Macaca fascicularis: one gene and its partner. The main gene of each other region encodes a partner of the protein of the gene in region 2 in a complex. Links are inferred from orthologs where the notes say so. Each region holds a gene or a part of one and is shown on either strand. Other genes may lie near its edges. The genes, in order: PNOC and OPRL1.

Region 1 (10,280 bases), on a different chromosome or scaffold from region 2:
TCCTTTAAACCTAGCTCTTACTGATTACTAAAATGCAACTTGCCCTCAGTAGTTCAAAAGTCCATCCGTATTTTGATGCAAAGTTGTGAAGAAATGTGTGTGTCCCTCTATTTTTAACATTCATTGTGTTCTGACTTAAAAGTGTTTTAAAATGTGAAGAGAGTTTGCCCTCACTGAGTAAGAAGCAGCTTTTCCAGTGGGACCCTGCTAACGTGGTTACTAAGGAGACCAATTGGAGGTAGGCGCCATAATTAATCAGTAAATTCCAAGCAGTCAAATACCTGGCCGGGAAAGGCTCTTTACTCTGAGAGGGGAAAATTGGCAGGTGGGTGGAGGTGTGTTGAGCTCAACATTGGGCCCAGCTGCGGCTGCCTCCTTCCCCTGTACTTCCTCTACTGAGATATTCTGATGACAATTTTAAGAGTTTTCTCGGGAGGCCGAGACGGGCAGATCACGAGGTCAGGAGATCGAGACCATCCTGGCTAACACGGTGAAACCCCGTCTCTACTAAAAAATACAAAAAAAAAAACAAAAAAAAAACTAGCCGGGTGAGGTGGCGGGTGCCTGTAGTCCCAGCTACTCGGGAGGCTGAGGCAGGAGAATGGCGTAAACCCGGGAGGCGGAGCTTGCAGTGAGCTGAAATTCGGCTACTGCACTCCAGCCCGAGTGAGACTCCGTCTCAAAAAAAAAAAAAAAAAAAAGGTTTTCTCAATCTACCTCAAAACTTACCTGTCAGTACAGAGTGGATTCTAATATTTGTAGCCTCCCTGGTTGGGCCTCTATTGCAAAGATGCCAAGCTGGTGTGGGCAGGAGTGAACTTCCACCACCTCATAAGCAGAAGAAATAAGAATTTTATTTTATTTTATTTTAATGAGACAGGGTCTTACTCTGTTACCCAGGCTGGAGTGCAGTGGCTCAATCATGCCTCACTGCAGCCTCAACTTCCCAGGCTCAAGTGATCCTCCCTTCTCAGCCTCCCAAGTAGCTGAAACTACAGGTGCTTACCACCACACCTGGCTAGTTTTTCATATTTTATAGAGACAGGGTCTTGCTGTGTTACCCAGACTGGTCTTGAACTCCATTCTCCCACCTTGCCCTCCTAAAGTGCTGGGATTACAGGCATGAACCACCATGCCCAGCCAAGAATTTTATTAATTCCAAGTTCTTGCACGCACACACACACACACACATACACACAAAGCAGTAGAAATAAGAACATGTGACCTTTCCTTTCCAACTATTTTAATAAATGTATCCTGCCAATCAGAAAAGCAGGGGGCAGCTGGAGAAGCCCATGGCTCTCAAGGTGCCATGTCTCAGTGGCAAGGGGGAGGCCCTGAAGCCATCACAAATGCCACACAGTCTGAACCCTTTCTAGTCTACTTGTGCTTTTCTGAGGGGCAAGGTTCTTCTACTCCCCCACCCAACACTGGTTTTAAACTCCCTCCTGGGTTCATCCTGCCCTTCTCCATCGATCACAGGAGACAGCCTGCCACCACATGCAGCTTCATTCAATCCACCAAGAATATCCAGGTCATTGGGTTCAACTCTTCTATCTGGTAAATGAGGAAAGAAAAGTCCAGAGAAGCTAAGTGACTTTTCACTCTTGCTCTTTCTCTTCCTCAACTGCAAGGGAAGAAAAGCATTTAGCTGCCTGAACATCCTGGGAATGACAAGGTGCTCAAAGGCAGGTGTGTTGTTTAAGGTAATTTTCCACTGGATGTAATAGAAAACCCAACTAAATGGCTTAAATCTTAGGAAGTTAACGTTTCCAATGCCTCCAATGAATGGCTTCTGCATAGCCACCCTCTATTATCCTGGGACTTCATAGTCTCCACCCAGCCTGGCTCTGGACAGCCTTGCAACTGGCCTTAGCCAATAAATGTAGCAAAAGCAATGGACTGCCAACTCCATGCTTAGGTCTCCAGAGGTTCCATGTGCTTGTGATTGTTCCCTTGCTTGATTGTATTTGCTTGTGCTTTCACCTCAGGTTTGCCATGAGGCCATGCCAGGCTAATATGCTGAAGGGATGTGAGAGACCCATGAAGGATAAGACACGTGCAAGAGAACCAAGGTCCCTAGCTGACACCCAGCCAACCTTCTGAGTCCAACTGCAGGTGCAGAAGAGAGTCAGGCTGAGACCAGAAGAACTGCCCTGCTGAGCCTAGCCAGAATTCCCAATCTGTAGAATCATGAGTCAAATATGTGGTCTGTTGTTTTAAGCCTCTGGCCTTGATGTGGCTTGTTATGCAGCAACAGGTAACTGAATCCTGACTGACATTTGAAATAAAGGTTTGGGTTTTCTTTTAAAAAAAAGGTTAAAGTTTGGAAGTCCAACATTGATATGGCCACTCCATTAGTCATGAGGGACCCAAAATCCTTCCATCTTTATGTTCCATCATATTTACTCATTGCTTCCATCCTCAAAGTTGTCTCATCTCGTAATCCAAGATAGCTGCTAGAGCTCCAGCCATCACATTTGTGTCCCAGGCAGGATGGAGGGAGGGCAAAGAAGAGAGAGAGGCCTTTAGCGAGTTGACCCCCTTTAAAAGAGCTTTCCTGGAAGCCCCACCCACGGACCTGCAGCTTAATGCTCATTGGCAACCCTTGACCAATGGGAAATGTAGTCTTTTAGCTCAGGGCATTGATGCCTAGATTAAAATCAAGGGTACCGTTTAGTAAGGAAGAACAGGGGAATGGGGATTGAGTAGGCAGCCACCAATATCTGCCACATCATGTATGAAATCAGGATCCAGGTCTGAGACCCTGAAGTACATCAGGATGCAAAAGTGACCCCGTGTCATTCAGTGAACATGCTAGTTTCCCAAAGGGTCCATAATGTTAGCTGTGACCTGCAGTGTAAGGTTTGGGCAAAAGAGATCTAAGTGAAGAATTGTGAGTATGCTGGTCTCCTGAGCCCTTTTGCTGTGAACACAGATGGAAGGGACATTTTATTCTCAGAACCTGTTGCTCTTAACCTGAGCAGATGTTTGCTGTCTTTCTACCTATTTTCTTTTTATTGAGATGTAATTCCCAGAACATAAAATGCACCATTTTAAAGCATATAATTTGGTGGGTTTTAGTATTCTTGCTATGTTGTGCAACCATCACCACAATCTAATTCCAGAACATTACCATTACCCCAAAAAGAAACCCTATACCATTCACAGTCAGGGCAGATGCTTCCCTCAATCCTTCTCCACCCAGTCGTGGGTAGACAAGAGAGCTGGACTCACCATATGAGAGTGCTTGAGCTCCTTGGATGACACAGGTTCAAACCCTGGGATTCTGGAATATTTTAGACCCTCTTCGGAAAACTAAGGACAGGGTCATGGTGCAATTCACCTACGGTAAGGAAAGGTGGGGTCCCCAAGGATGCTAAACCCTTGAGCCTGTGCCTTCAGCCTGTGAGCTCCCTTCCTGCAGCCCACAACCTCCAGCGGCTGCAGAAGACAAGGAGGCTCTGCAGTAAGGGACAGGGAAGCTTCCAGAGCTTCTGATCCTCCAGGGCACTCGGTAGTGGCACCCTAAGGTGCAGAAGCTTTAAAAGCTCTCTGTTGTGACACCAGACACTGATATGGGATTTCTAGATCCAGGTGGTACTAATTAGCGTGAAAAGGGGGCTGAGAGGAGAGGGAGGATGCAGCACATTCATTAAGGGCCTCGTGTGTTGCAGATTCAAACAGAATCTCCTTTTTCTACTCACAACCATCCTGGGCAGTGTTAGACTCGTTTTCCAGAAGGAGGACTTGAGGTTCACAAAGAGATGTGCCTTGCTCTGACTGTACAGCCGAATTTCAGACACTTCCATCTGAGCCTTGAGTCTCAGCGCTCTCCATCGCACCATGCTGTGGGCACCTGTGGAAATGCCTCCTGACCTGGCCCAGGGCAGGTAGAGCCACCCCTTGAGTGGCCTAGTTAGGGGCAGTGACATTAGGTGGGGGCTTGGCTTAGCTCAGCCCTGGGCTCCTCCGTGCCGGTGGGAGCCTGGCGTGAGCTCCCCTGCCTTCTGCCTGCCTCCTATTCTTCACTCCTCAGGCAAAAAGGTTGCTCAAGGAGAGTCCAGGATTTGGGGTCTGCCTCGTCACTGTCACCAGGAGGCTTTCTTTCTGACTTGCCAGAGCTCCCCGTCAGTCCTCGCAGAGCCTCTGGAAGCACAGGGAAGGCAGCTGTGGGATCCTGGCTGAACAGAGTCCAGGTGAAGCAGGCTTGAGAATGGATTGATGGGGAAGTGGGGATGTCACAGGTCTGATGGCAGAGCCGGGGAAAGGGAGCAGCCAGAAGGCTTGCAGGTTCTGCTCTTTGGTTGCTGAAGGGGGTCAGTGTGTGTATGTGTCATGGAGGTGGGCAGGGAAGGGGAGGGCTGTGCGTGGGGGAGAGGATATATATGCTGGTGTGGCTGAGACAGCGGAACCGAGCCTCACATCCATCGGAGGGAGCCGGGGACTGACAGCTCTCAGGTAGGCAACTGCACGGGGCCCCCAGCCCGACCGCGACTAACTGGACTAACTGCGTGGAGCTCCGGGAGGGCAGGGCCACCGGGGTCTGGCTCCTCGGCCTCTCTCCTTTGTCCAGTGTGGATGCTGCTGGCCTCTTGCGAGATGGTTTCTTCATTCATCTCCTTTGCAGCGCTTGGATGGTGGGGAACGGGGGAGGGCTAAGGCTCTTTCTTAACCGCAGACAGATGCAGAAACAGAAAGAGGGGAACTTGGAAATGAGGAAAAGTTTTGCTTCCCCAGCTGTGGCCCCTACGTGGTTGTTGCTCTGTGTCGAAAGGAGGCTGCTGGAGGAGTGAGGTCAGGGGAGGGGCAGGCACTTGGGAGGGGGTTTGCCTTCCACGGGGCGGCCTCCAGGAAGCCCCTGGCCCCCTCATGAGGGTTTTCTCTCCGTGGCTTCCTTTCCTCTCCGATGCGGTGTGCAGGCTGCTTCTCCGCCTATCACTGAACTTCATGCCATCCAGATGGGAGTTTTTAATCCACAGGGAGCCCTTCTCCCTTCTGCCCCCAACAGAAATTGCTACAAATAATGGGGAAGCGCCAGACCTGGGGAGTGTGCTTCACCTGTGTACACACACTGCTGAGCGCCACGGCGTGTGAATTCCAGAGGGCATTTCTACGGGCGTGACCTTGGTCTCCCAGAACCTGATTCATTTAGAGGGCTCTTCTCTTGCTTGGCATCTCTCTCCCCCTGCCCATCTCCCCCACCTAAAGGTCTTTGCCCAGGTCATACAGAATACTCCGTTCATAGTCACCGCATCCCAACTCTGGAGGCTCTCTCGGCCACCTTCTTTCTTCCTCCTCTCTTTGTGCGCCTCTCTCCCTCGGTCTTGCTTCCCCAGGCTTCACTACCCAGCCCCTCCTCCCCCAATCTCGCTCTGAACATGGGCAAGTTCTGGGGGAATTTCAAGTAAGGCAGGATGATTCGGGAAATGGACTATTTAAAGCAAACTGCTTTGGACTTGAATACCCTGTTCCTGCGCTTAAACATCTGTGTTTAGCTTCCTCAAGCAGCCCATAATTGCCCCAATTATAACCAATAACATTGTTCGGCAGACTAACAAAAGATGAGCTTTGCACGGCATTCGCCAGCAAGCCCAAACCAGAGTTTTCAACATAGATGGGAAAAGTAACTGCCTGGCTTCTTATCAAAACCTCCCAAAGCAAATACTGCTCTTTTTCGCTGCTTGTGGGTGGCTACAGCCTGCACCCTCTTTTCTTCTCATTTGTAAAGTGTGGCAGAGAAATATTCTATAAGCTTCCACTGAGGCTGTGTTACCTTTAACAAAAAGGATTCGTGCTCCTTTGGGCTTGCTGAGTCTTCTGCAGAGGAGGGTCCCTGGAAAACCCATCCCCAACCATCCTCACCTCAGTAAAAGCAGCAGCTTTTATATCTCCATGTGCCACCAGTGCTGCCTGTCAAGGGTGCTGTGGTGCAGCCTCGGGTTGTTTTGAGGGCGCGGTTTTGTTGCCCACAGGGCGGCAGCCCCTGCTTTATCCGCTGAAGGCTGAGAGTACTTAGGGATTTGTAAAATGCTGGCGAGTTTGCATTGTCAATGAAGGGAGTGATTGCAGGATTAGGCTCAAACCTGTGCTCCCTGGCGCCTATGACAGGAGCTGTCACAAAGCTGTTCTGTATTCAATCAATCAGGTAGTTATCGTCTACACTCCACCAGGCAGGGAGGCTTGCAGGGGCTCTACTAGATTCAGCGGAGGTGATAATAACAGCACTTTACATTTGTACAACGATTTAGGCGCTTTCACAACTATTATCCCAGCAACAGCCCTGTGAGGTGGTGCCATTATCTCTGTGTTGCAGTTGGGGAAACTGAACCTGAGAGATTAAATGATTTATTCAGTACATGGCAGGGTCAGGACTGAGCCAAGCCATTCTGGCTCCAGTTCATCTCCCCGTTATGGTCAGGGGTGCTTGTGAACTCCTAGTGGGGTCGGGGGTAGAGGAGAGACATGACACAAACATGAGAAACAATTAGAGGACCATGCAAAGCTGGGTGTAATTCAGTCCTAAATCGCATAATCCAGAGAGCAAGTGCTAGAAGAATTTGGGAGAAGGAGCACTTCCTCCTGGGATTCCTGGGATTCTACCAAGTGGGAAGGCAGGTGGAATCTGGATGGGTCAAGAGCTTTGAAGAGGGAGGCAGCAGCCAGGTCAAACACACAAAAGGAGGGCCACGGAATTAACATTTCTTGAAACCCACTCTGCACCAGGCAGTGAGCTAAGCTTGTCTGCATGTTTATTTTGTGCTAATACGCACACGCACATATGCACACGGGTAGGAATGGGAAGTTTCAGGTGAGCGTTCTTTACTTGCACTGACATGGTTCAGCGATCCCTCATTTCCCCATCCAGCTCCACAGCTCCCAAAGCCCACGAAGGAAGCTTTGAAATCTCTTGCGTTCCGGGTCTGGGTGGAGCTACTCCTCAGATGTCTTAGGAAGGGACGGACCCTTCTCAGAAAACAGGAGCCGTCCTGACAATGAATGACTGGTAGTGGCTTGAATTGCTGGGCTATCATGAAGCAAACTGAATTTTCTAAATGCCTTTATTTAAATCCCACAATCGAACATAAAGCTTTCCATCTAATCACAAACTAGTCGTGAGATTTGGAGCACATCAATTTCAGGGACAAGCCAGTTTTCTGGGCATCTCCCTGGATAGGCTACAATTAGTTTCAGTCTCAATTTTCCATGATCCTGTGGGTTTTTTTTTTTTCCCCAAAATACTGGCAGCTGCTTCAACATTGCAGAAGCACAAAATCATCAGCCCGCGGGCCCAGCCTAGCAGGTGGAGTAGATAGCATGCCTCACCGTGCACCCAGCTCTGCCATCCCACAATGGCTCAGATCCAACCTCCCCTCTTTCCACATTGGCCTGCAATCTTCCCCCCACCCTCCATCTCCATTCATTCTTTCATTCATTTGGCCAAGGAACGGTGTGTGGAGTTCCTGATAGGAGCCGCACAGAGCAAGTGCCAGGAGCACAGGGCGGCCAGAGCTCTGGCTTCCTCCAAACTCACAACGGGCTTCAGGAAATTGAGACTTTTGTTTTTATCTTACCTTTCTTAATTTGCATTTTAGTGGATTTTATAAAGTATGTAACTTATAAATAAATTAGGAATGTGTACTCAAAATCGACTGCTAGGGGTACAAATTTAAAGAAGTTTGACTGGGCGCGGAGGCTCACACCTGTAATCCCAGCACTTTGGGAGGCCAAGGCGGGCAGATCACCAGGTCAGGAGATCGAGACCATCCTGGCTAACATGGTGAAACCCCGTCTCTACTAAAAATACAAAAAAATTAGCCGGGCGTGGTGATGGGTGCCTGTAGTCCCAGCTACTCGGGAGGCCGAGGCAGGAGAATGACGTGAACCCAGGAGGCGGAGGTTGCAGTGAGCCGAGATCGCACCACTGCATTCCAGCCTGGGCGACAGAGTGAGACTCCATCTCAAAAAAAAAAAAGAAGTTTGAAGATTGTTGTTCTAGATTCATTGCTGTTTATCTGTGTTTTCCAATATTCCAATATTTTAGAAAAGAACATTGAATGATTTTATTACATAAAAGTAAATAAAAGCTTTTCTTTCTTTCTTTCTTTTTGAGTTGGAGGGCTTGCTGTGTTGCCCAGGCTGGTCTTTTGTTGTTGTTGTTACTGTTGTTTACAGACAGGGTCTCACTCTGTCACCCAGGCTGGAGTACAGTGGCACAATCACAGCTCACTTCAGACTCAACCTCCTGGGCTCAAGCTATCCTCCTGCCTTAGCCTCCTGAATAGCTAAGACTACAGATTTGCACCACCACACGTACCTAATTTTTTTCTTTTTTTTTTTTTCTTTTTTTTGTAGAGATAGGGGTCTCACTATGTTCCCCAAGCTGGTCTCAAACTCCTGGGCTCAAGCATTCTAAGTTGCTGGGATTGCAGATGCATCCTAATACACCCAGCTAAAAGTGAATAAAAGCTTTCCAAAATCTATTTAAATTATGTTGCCAGTATATGTGGGAGTGTGGCCCAGAACCAGGAGGATGGGAGTTGAGGGCTATCTTCCCACCTGCAGCAGCCCTGAACATGTGTCTTTTGCCCCCTCCACATCCTTTCTATGGCTTTCCTCCCATGCTGCCCGGAAGCTACTTCCCCATGAAGCCTTCATCTCCTTTTCCTCTTCCCTTCTTCCCTCCCTTCTCACTTCCTGGAAAGTACAAATATCTGGCCATTCATAAAATCAAAGAATATTAACCATCTCATCTAACTGCCTCTTCTTATAGAGGGAAAAGCTGAGGCCCAGAGAGAGAAAAGATCTTGCTTAAAATCCCACAGGTAACGACAGAGCCGGACTAGAAGCCAGGACTCTTGTTTCTGAGCACAGCTCTCGCTCATTCATTTCTCCCCAGCCTAGGGAATGCTTGACCTGTGCTGGGCTGGGCAATTGTTCTTTCCTCCACCTCCTCTATGCCGTCCCCCTCTTTCCAGGTGGAAATTTAGATCAGAGGAGAGACATTTGAAGTGTAATGGTATCAGCCAGAAGAGGAAAAGAAACCAAAGCAGCCTCTCTCCATAATAGCTGGTAAATAAGCACAAGCTCTATTGTAGGAGTCTTGTCTGCAATGGGTCTAAGAAATGGGGCATGGGGAAGACCAACCTATCTTCCAATGGACATGCAGCTGGTGCGCAATGAAGGATCCCTCTGTGAACTGGGGAGAAGCAATAATAAAGAGGTTGTCATCAGCCCGGGCACAGTGGCTCATGCCTGTAATCCCAGCACCTTAGGAGGCTGAGGTGGGAGGATAATTTGAGGTCAGGAGTTCGAGACCAGTCCAACCAACATGGTGAAACCCCGTCTCTACTAAAAATACAAAAAAATTAGCCAGGCATGGTGGCGGGCACCTGTAATCCCAGCTACTCAGGAGGCTGAGGCAGGAGAATCGTTTGAACCCGGGAGGCAGAGGTTGCAGTGAGCCGAGATAGCACCACTAAACTCCAGCCTGGGCAACAGAGCAAGACTCTATCTCAAAAAAAAAAAAAAAAAAAAAAAAGGGTTGTCATCAGAGAGGGAGTGCAGAGTTCAGAACAAGAGGAAGTCCCTGAATGAGTTCTCCTACACAAAGACAGCTGCAGGGATCACTGACGGGCAGGATCAGACATGAGTCCCAGCTCTGCCACTTGAAGTTATGTCGACTCCTTAAGCCTCAATCTGCTCAACTATAAAACGGGGATGATAACAATTAGCGCAGAGCCTCGCTCATAGTGCTCTAAAGTCATAGTAATATGATTGCTATGAAATGCAAATAGATTCCACCACAATGAGATTCCGTCAGAATTTGGCAACCTTCCAAAAGCAGAAACAGTGTGTAAAGTTTATGGTTTCCCAGAGCACACGATTTGGAGTCAACACACCTGAGTTTAAGTCCTGGCTCTGCTACTTATAAACTGGATGATCCTAGTCAAATTGCTTAACCTCTAAGAGTTTATGTTCATCTTAAAAAGGTGGGTTGATATTAACCCTAGATTATAGGGTTGTATAATATATGAATATAAAATTTTTTGGTAACCTGTCAAGAATGTTCTCTACATGTGGTTGATGAAAAGTGATGAAAAGGATGGAGGTGTATCTGCCTCTAGCAAGACCAGTCCCCTCTTCTCTTCTCTGCTGGCAGCATCAAAATTACAGGCCTTTGCATAGGTCATAAGACAAAACTTAATTAGGGTTGAGCTTCGGCTAAAGCTGCATATGTGATTCTCCAAACAGATAAGCAACTAATTATATTGCCCTTG
Region 2 (8,839 bases):
CCCCAGCCCCCAGAACCGTGAGAAATAAACGTCTGTTGTTTCTATTGCCATTGGATCTATGGTGCTTTGCTACAGCAGTCCAGGATAAGACAGTGTCCGTCATTCAAACCTATATAAAACCCTACAGAACTTGCCCATCTGCCCATGCCCTGGAGACAAGCGCTTGGACTGGAGTGTGCCGGTGCCCACCCTCCAAAGCTGCTCTGTTTTGCAGGTCAGCCTGGGCTGCACTGGGCCAAACAGGAACCAGGAGGCAGATGTCCACGGCAAGCGTGTGCCCAGCCCCAGAGGAGGCTGTCTGCTCATCCTTCACAAAAACTCCCCTCAGATCTGCTCTAGGAAGGGAAAATGAGCAGGAGCAGGGGTTCTTCTGAGATGAAATAGGGGGAAGAAAACCCTGAGGCCTGGGTGGGAGCAGCCTCCTCCCACTGGATCCTCAGGAAATCTCTTTCCAGGGGGCAGGGGAGAGGTGCAGCCATTGGTTATTTAGGGAGAAACTGTGTGTGGTGAAGAAAAGGTAACAGCCCGGCCAACACACCATTAACTGGCTTCAACTCTCCCCAGGGTTGCAGCCTCCTGGAGGACCCTTCACTGAGGACAGAGCCCAGCCTGTTGAGCAGCACAGGACAAGTGCAAGAACTCAGCCTAAACCCCATAGCCTCCTCCCACTCACGTGCCAATCCCAGAAAAGTCACCCCAAAGGCAAATCCCCAGGTGGCAGGAGCCAGAAACACCTGTCATGAAGATACCCAGCCAGTGAGCAGGTGTTTATTAGGGTCCTTTTTCATTACCCCAGAGACAGACCCAGGGCTGGCTGCGTGCACAGGAAGTAACGATTGCCACATGCATAAATACGTGAAGATGCACATTACGTCAGCACAGAGTCACAAAACACTTAGCCTTGGCAAGAAAACACTGTAGCTAGGCAGCTCCCGCTCTCAGAGACTCCTGCCACAGATGTCACGGAGACAGCAGGGGCCTCCCCAGGGACAGTCCCCACGGCCTAGACTCCCCAGAGCTGGAGGAGCAGCCCAGGCTCTGTGGTGAGACGGCCATCACTTCCTGTTCTTGGCAGGAGCCTAAGGTTACCTGGCCAAGGTCTTGATGGAAAAATGAGTTTTTACAATGTTGCAGGTCTTTTAATAGTTCGTCTGTAGGAAGTGCATTTGCAAAGTCACCAACCTGCAGCTGCCATCTGTAGACCAGGAAGGGTGATTCTCTGGTTGACCACAGCAGGGCATCCCCTGAGGTACAGAGACCCCCTCCCACCCCCACAGTGTTCTCACAGCCGGTACAGCGCTTGCAGTTTGGCTCAAGCAAGCCCTGGCAAGCCCCACCCCCATGCTGGCTCTGCTGTGAAGCCATCCTCTCGCTGGGCGGCAAGTTCAGGCCCTACGCAGAGCCATCTTGAGGCTTGTAAATGAAGCAGGCGTCACCAGAGCAGGACTCCGCTGTGGCCACCGGCTTCTCCTTCCGCACAGCTTCCCCCGCAACACAGCTCCCCCAAAACACTGCACGGCCACTGACCTCCGGCTTCAAGCAAAGGAGAGGCTGTGAGGGGAGCCCTGGGAGGATGTGGAGACCCCCCGGGAGGATGTGGAGACCCCCAGAGGATCCTCTCCCACCCTGCTACAAACAGCAGTCGAGACCAGGAAAACGAGGCCTCGACTTTGTGAACAACAGGCTGCCCATGTGGTCACACGGCGTCTTCCTCCTGGGACACCTGCCACACACCGAGAAGCAGAGCTCGGTTGACGGTCCACAGCATGACAGTTCATTGCACTGCTGGAGGGAATGGGCCGGGGCCTCCTGTGGGTCTCCTGAAGGGAAAGGGGGGTTGGACCCAGAGCCAAGCTCAGTCAGGGATGAGGCCTGCACAGCACAGCACACAGGAAACCTTCAGAGGTGCGGCTGGCCCAGGACCAGCTCGGGGTCTGCAGCCAGGGACAGCCAGCCCACCTGGACACTCTCCTGGGGTGGCCCTGGCTGCACAGGTGGAGTCAGAACGGGCGAGTCCTCCTGGTGGCGGCTCCAAGCTCAGGGCAAGTCCCACCCCAAAGAAATGCTGCCTGTTGGACTTCCCGGGCAGCGCCAAGTCTGTCCCGCTGCCCTGAGGAGACGTCCCAGGGCTGAAGGCAGCTGGAGCCCTGCCATGCAAACAGCACACAGCACGTAGGGTGCACAGGACGACACAGCCGCTGCTCCTCCTCCGGGTGCGCCCACCCAGGGTTCTGCCAACACAGCAGCAGAGAGGCCAAGAGTCACGTGAAGCACGGGCAGGGAGGGGCACGGGCTCCAGTCGCGGCCGTCCAGCAGCACGGCAGCTGCTTCCAGGTAGGTCTTTGTGTCACCTCAGCCATGCACCAGGCGGGCAGCTTTAGTCTGTCTGGGGCCACGGAGGTAGCCCTAACGCTCTGACCTGTCCCATGATGTCACTAGGTCCTCCTCTGGGACCAAGTGTCCCTGGCCCACAGGGAAAAGCCCATCCAAGGCTCTGGATGCTCAGGGCTCAGGGTGTGTCAGCCTAGAGAGCAGTGACTTGTGTGAGCTCCGTGTTGGGCGTAGATGGGCTCTGTGGGCTGACGGGCACCATAGGCAGGTCCACGCCTAGTCACGCGGGCCGCGGTACCGTCTCAGAGGTCTTGCAGGCCAGGGCCACATCTTTGGCAATGCTGCGCACACGGTCGGACACCTGCACCTCCCGGCGCAGGGCAGAGGCACAGCAGAACTTGCGGAAGCAGGCCTTGAAGTTCTCATCCAGGAAGGCATAGAGGATGGGGTTGAGGCAGCTGTTGACGTAGCCCAGGGCCGTGCAGAAACGCAGAATGGCCACGGCAGTCTCGCTGCCTGGCTGCACTCCCAGCCCTTGGACCAGCACAAAGACCTGGACAGGCGTCCAGCAGCCCACGAACACAGCCACCACCACCAGCACCAGCCGAGTGATGCGCCGCAGGTTCCGGTCCTTCTCCCGGGAGCCCGAGAGCAGGCGGACTCCGCGGAGCCTCCGGATCATGAGGCTGTAGCAGACGGAGATGATGAGCACGGGGACGATGAAGGAGAAGAGGAAGATGCAGACGGCAAACACAGGGCCCCAGTAGTCCTGTGGGGCAGGGATCTCCACCAGGCACTCGATCTCTGCAGGGAGAGAAGTGGGGTCAGAGTGGGCCCAGAGGAGCCACCCAGGAGCCGTGGAGAGCCTGGTGAGGGGAGGAGGGGACACCCCACTGACCTTCATCCTCGACCTGTGCCGAGCCCATGATGGCAACAGGAACACCAACAACAGAGGCCAGGGCCCAGATGGCCACATTGACAGCCTGGGCTTTGCTGGATGTGCGGACGTCGAGGGCGCGGATGGGGTGGCAGATGGCTACGTAGCGATCCACACTCATGGCAGTCAGGGTGAAGGTGCTGGTGAACATGTTGTAGTAGTCAATGGCAATGACTGTCTTGCACAGGGCATTCCCAAACGGCCAGAAGCCCAGGAGGATATCTGTGCCCTGGAAGGGCAGCGTCAGCAGGACCAGAGTGTCTGCCAGGGCCAGGTTAAAGATGTAAATATTGGTGGCTGTCTTCATTTTGGTGTGCCTGCAGAGTAGAGGAAGAAGAAAGGCTTCACTTGGCTATGCCGGCTGGACCGGGCAGCAAAGGGCAAGGGGCTCGTCTTGGCCACTGCAAGCTACACTGGCCCTGAGTCCCTTAACATCAGAGTTCCCATGGGGGCTTGGTAAGTGACAGCTCCTGGACCCAACCTGAGACTCACTGAGTCAGTCTCAGGGGATGGAACCTGGCATGAGACATCTTCACCAGCTCTTCAAGTGACTCTGACACACACCAAAGGATTCCAAGCCTTAAACACGAGTCTACTTTACAGGGGTCAGGGCATGTAGGGTACGAGAACTCACCCCAGACTCCACGGGAGCGAAGGGTTAGAGCCCTAAGGGAAAAAGCCTGCTCTCCTTGCTTTTGAGTCCCCTCAGAGACCCTTCACAGACTCAAATGCTGACCCTACAGTTGCCAGAGGTTTCTGAGAGCTCCGGAATCTATAAGAACATACCAAAAGGCTTCCAAGTCCACACTGCTATCTAGCAACGGAGACAGAAAATGGTGACATGGACAGGAGGGATGCTAATAAGGTATGATTGTATCCAAGCACCTGAAAAGGTGCTGGAAAGGGCTGGGAAAGTTGTTGGTGGTTAATAAATTTTTGTTAAATCAGTTAATGGTTGTAATATTTGGGGGGGGATTATGGTGGTGGTGGTGGTGATGATGGTAGTGATCATGGTGGTGACGGTGATGATGATGGTGATGGTGATGATGGTGGTGGTGATAGAGAGGATGGTGATGATGGTGATGATGATGAACGTGATGGTGGTGATAGTGGTGATGGTGATGATGATGGTGATGACGATGAACGTGATGGTGGTGGTGGTGGTGATGGTGATGATGATGGTGATGACGATGAACGTGATGGTGGTGGTGGTAGTGATGGTGATGGTGATGATGGTGATGACGGTGGTGGTGATAGAGAGGATGGTGATGATGATGAATGTAATGGTGGTGATAGTGGTGATGGTGATGATGGTGATGATGGTGATGATGATGAACGTGATGGTGGTGATAGTGGTGATGGTGATGATGATGGTGATGATGGTGATGATGGTGATGATTATGAACGTAATGGTGGTGGTGGTGGTGATGGTGATGATGGTGATGATGGTGATGATGATGACAATGAACGTGATGGTGGTGGTGGAGGTGGTGGTGGTGGTGGTGATGATGATGGTGATGATGGTGATGATGATGACAATGAACGTGATGGTGGTGGTGGTGGTGATGGTGATGATGGTGTCACGTGATGGTGATGACTGTGATGATGGTGGTGGCGGCGGTATTGGCAGTGGCAGCAGCGCCCGAGATGACACTATTCTATGTCAGTTTAGCTGCCTCGAGGAAATATGGGGCTCAGTTCTGCCTCTTAGAGAGGGATTATGAATAAGCACAAAGAGGCCGCAATTACAAAGAGAAAACAACAATGACAATGATTATGGCAAATACCTGTGCCAAGCTCTTCGGGGGAATTTATGTCATTGAAGATTTACAAAAATGCTACTTTGATCCCCACTCTATAGAGGAAGAAACTGAGGCCTACAGGATCTATGTTGTTTTTTTAAGGCCTTAGAGCTGGTAAAAAGCAGGGCAGGGCTCAGAACAGAGTGTTTCTGACTCCTGGGATGGTCACCCCAGCCCACTGGCTCACAACATGCTGCCTCTTGGGCCAGTGTGGCCACAGCAGCCCCTGAGCATCGCTCTCTCTGGGGACTCTGCCCAGCAACATGACCTTCCCTGCCTGCTCTAATCCAAGAAGTGCCTCTGAGAGGTTGAACACCTCAGTGTAGAGGAGAAAGACAGTAGAGAAGCGGTAACAGCCGGAAAGGTGCTCAAGCACAGGGACTGCCCCAGGCCGCCGCACTCCTCAGCCGTGACGCGCCAGCCAGCCACGAAGGGACATGCACATCACGGAGCAACCTCCGTGGAGCCTCCCTTAGGAGTCAGCTCTGGGGAGGGGCAGCTGTTCTTCCCACTCTCTCGTCTGACCACGCATCACCTGCACACATGCGCACACACACACGCGCACACACACGCACGCACGCACGCGCACACGCACGCGCACACACACGCACGCACGCGCACACGCACGCACGTGCACCCACACACACGCGCGCACACACACGCACACACGCACGCGCACACACGCGCGCGCACGCACGCGTACACCCACACACACGCACGCGCACACGCACACACACACGCACACCCACACACACGCACGCACACACGCACACACACGCGCACACACACGCACACACACGCGCACACACACGCACACACATATACACGTGGTTACATGGTCCACCTTGCTCACTTTCCAGATGGGAAAAACAAGGCCCAGAGGGGAACAGCTTTTCTCAGGGACACTAAGAGGACAGGGCTGGGATGGTGGCAGCTTAAACACCCCCACTACCCTGTCCTGCCTCTACCTACATAACACCTCTGGTTGGGACCCTTTGAGGTTATAAGGAGGGAACACTTGCTTTAGAGCCCTGGACACTGTCTTCAGAACTGCCTTTTTCTGGGTCCAGGCAAATATCCTGGACCAATAAGAAACCTCATTCCAGCTGTCAGGAACCTCATTTAGCTTCCTGCTAAAGCACCACCCATAACCCCCCACTGCCTGAAGAACAGAGTTCCCCCACCCGGGCCTTCAGGATCCCACCTGCTGTCCCCAGGCCCTTCAGTTCTCTCTCCTCTGGATGGATTTGGGGTCCGTCATTTCCTCTGCCCAGAAAACCCTCCCTTTCTGCTTAAGTCACCTCCATCTTCTACCTGCCCAATCCACAATCCATGTGAAGGTTTCCTTGTTCACCCCCACACTGATCCCATGCTGTGCCCATGCTGTCCCCAATGCTATCCCCCTGCTATCCCCCCACTATCCCCCTCACTACCCCCCCACACTATCCGCCTCATGCTATTCCCCCACTATCCCCCTCACTACCCCCCCACACTATCCGCCTCATGCTATCCCCCCACTATCCCCCTCACTACCCCCTCACACTATCCGCCTTATGCTATCCCCCCACTATCCCCCTCACTACTCCCCCACACTATCCGCCTCATGCTATCCCCCCACTATCCCCCTCACTACCCCCCCACACTATCCGCCTCATGCTATTCCCCCACTATCCCCCTCACTACTCCCCCACACTATCCGCCTCATGCTATCCCCCCACTATCCCCCTCATTACCCCCTCACACTATCTGCCTTATGCTATCCCCCCATTATCCCCAAGCTCCCCCCCACTGTCCCCCACACTATCCCGCCATGCTATCCCCCTGTTATCTCCCTGGCTGCTCCCTGCTGTCCCCCACAGTATCCCCCACACTATCCCCCTGGCTGCTCTCCACTATCCCCCTGCACTGCCCCCCACACTGCTCCCCACACTGCCCCCCCACTGCCCCCCACACTGCCCTCGCACTGCCCCCCTACTGCCCCACACACTGCCCCCCGCACTGTCCCCCGCACTGCCCCCCGCACTGTCCCCCCACTGCCCCCCACTGCCCCCGCACTGCCCCCCACTGCCCCCGCACTGCCCCCCACTGCCCCACACACTGCCCCCCGCACTGCCCCCCGCACGGTCCCCCACACTGCTCCACACGCTGCTCCCCACACTGTCCCCCCACTGCCCCCCACTGCCCCCGCACTGCCCCCCACTGCCCCCGCACTGCCCCCCACTGCCCCACACACTGCCCCCCGCACTGCCCCCCGCACTGTCCCCCACTGCCCCCCACCTGCCCCCACACTATCCCCTTGGCTGCCCTCCATTATCCCCCTGCACTGCTTCCCACACTGTCCCCGCACTGCTCCCTCAACCGCAACTATCAGCTGCCCTCTCTTTGGCCCCCACAAGTTTTCCCATCTCAGAGCACCAACAGATGATGGGCTCAGCCACACACACCTGCCATAAGCAGGAGCCCTGGAACCTGAGAAGGGGTTTCAGGACTGTCCCAGCACCAGCCCCTGCGCCTCCCTTCACCCATCTGGGGAATGGGCTGAAAAGAGCCTCTCACAGGGCCGCTGTGGGGTCTCATAAGGTCATTGAAGCAGACAGCTTGATACAGAGCCTGGTCCACAGCTCAAACCAGGGGTCAGGGTGGTGACGCCTCTACCTGGGACAGAATGGGGTGGGCCAGGGCCAGCCCCTCCCCTCCCCTCCCCTCCCTGGGGCCTCAGGATTGACCCTGCCTCCTGGACAGGGTCCAACAAATTGAATGGGGGAAGCAGGAAATCAACACCTGCTCAGGCCCGTCCAGAACAGCCTCCGCCTCAGCTTCCCCCTCTGCAGCTGTGTGGGACTCAGCAGACAGGAACCTCGTGGCCCAGCCTACCTGAGGATGACGTACATGACGAGGCAGTTCCCCAGGAGCCCCCCGACACACACGGCCAGGTAGAGCCCCACGATGGTGACCTTGAGCCCGAGGGGCAGGAAGGCGCTGTGACTGGCATTGAGCAGCAGATGCGGAGGCAGCAGACTGTGGTTGGGACTGAGGAGGGACAGGTTGCCCTGAAGGTGGCTGCCGTAGATAACCTCCCAGAATGGGGCGGGGAAGAGAGGCTCCATGCCACTGCCCTGCAAATCCACTCAGTGCAGCACCTGGGACAGAGCACAGACAAGTGGCTGCAGTGCCAGACACACGCCCAGCCGAGGCCTCACAACCCAGCACGTGCAGCCCAGCAGGCACGTGGACCCCCACACTGGGCAGGCACAGGCACGGAGGTACACGGGCACACAGAACACACAGGCACACATGCACAGGCAGGGGCACATGGAGACACGAGGACACAAAGACACACATGCACCCGCAAGGACACAGTCTCGTTCGGTTTAGAGACTCACATACAGGCTGCCTGGAGGCAGTTACACCCCAGGACACTGTCCACCCGCAGGGACTCATGAACACACAGCCACTCGTTGTGTTCACAGGCACAGGGATGCAGGGACACACGTCACACACACAGACACACAGAAATGTCCAAACCTGCCCTCATGCACACGCAGGCACAAAAGAGACAGACACACCCAGAAACGCCTGGGACCCAGCCTTCCTCCTGGGAGCACAGCTTCCTCCTGCTCCCCCGCCCTGCTTTGCTGCAGTCTGTCAGCAGGACCCCCACCGGACCTCCAGCTCCCACCCGACCTCCAGCGGCTCAGGTCCTTACCTCTGCAACCTCCTTGGGAGCTGGGACCACCGTGGAGACCCCCACCCTCAGCCAGCCGGCAGT

The links.
Region 1: the proteins of OPRL1 (region 2) and PNOC are in contact, whole or in part, in a cryo-EM structure (PDB 8F7X), measured with the Homo sapiens proteins. The link is inferred for Macaca fascicularis from reciprocal best matches to the Homo sapiens genes OPRL1 and PNOC. Residues at the interface, in NP_000904.1 of Homo sapiens: Gln107, Asp110, Gly114, Phe115, Trp116, Val126, Ile127, Asp130, Tyr131, Met134, Gln192, Glu194, Ile198, Glu199, Cys200, Leu201, Val202, Ile219, Val279, Gln280, Val283, Gln286, Gln291, Pro292, Ser293, Val298, Leu301, Arg302, Thr305, Tyr309; in NP_006219.1 of Homo sapiens: Phe130, Gly131, Gly132, Phe133, Thr134, Gly135, Ala136, Arg137, Lys138, Ser139, Ala140, Arg141, Lys142, Leu143.

What each region holds. Positions count from the first base shown.
Region 1 is NC_088382.1:31,489,065-31,499,344, forward strand, and holds the start of PNOC (prepronociceptin), read left to right. Parts: upstream 1-4,130; 5' UTR 4,131-4,199; intron 4,200-4,410; exon of another isoform or gene 4,411-4,461; intron 4,462-10,280.
Region 2 is NC_088384.1:120,232,163-120,241,001, reverse strand, and holds the end of OPRL1 (nociceptin receptor), read right to left. Parts: 5' UTR 8,777-8,839; intron 8,211-8,776; 5' UTR 8,178-8,210; coding exon 7,945-8,177; intron 3,586-7,944; coding exon 3,230-3,585; intron 3,136-3,229; coding exon 2,612-3,135; 3' UTR 753-2,611; downstream 1-752.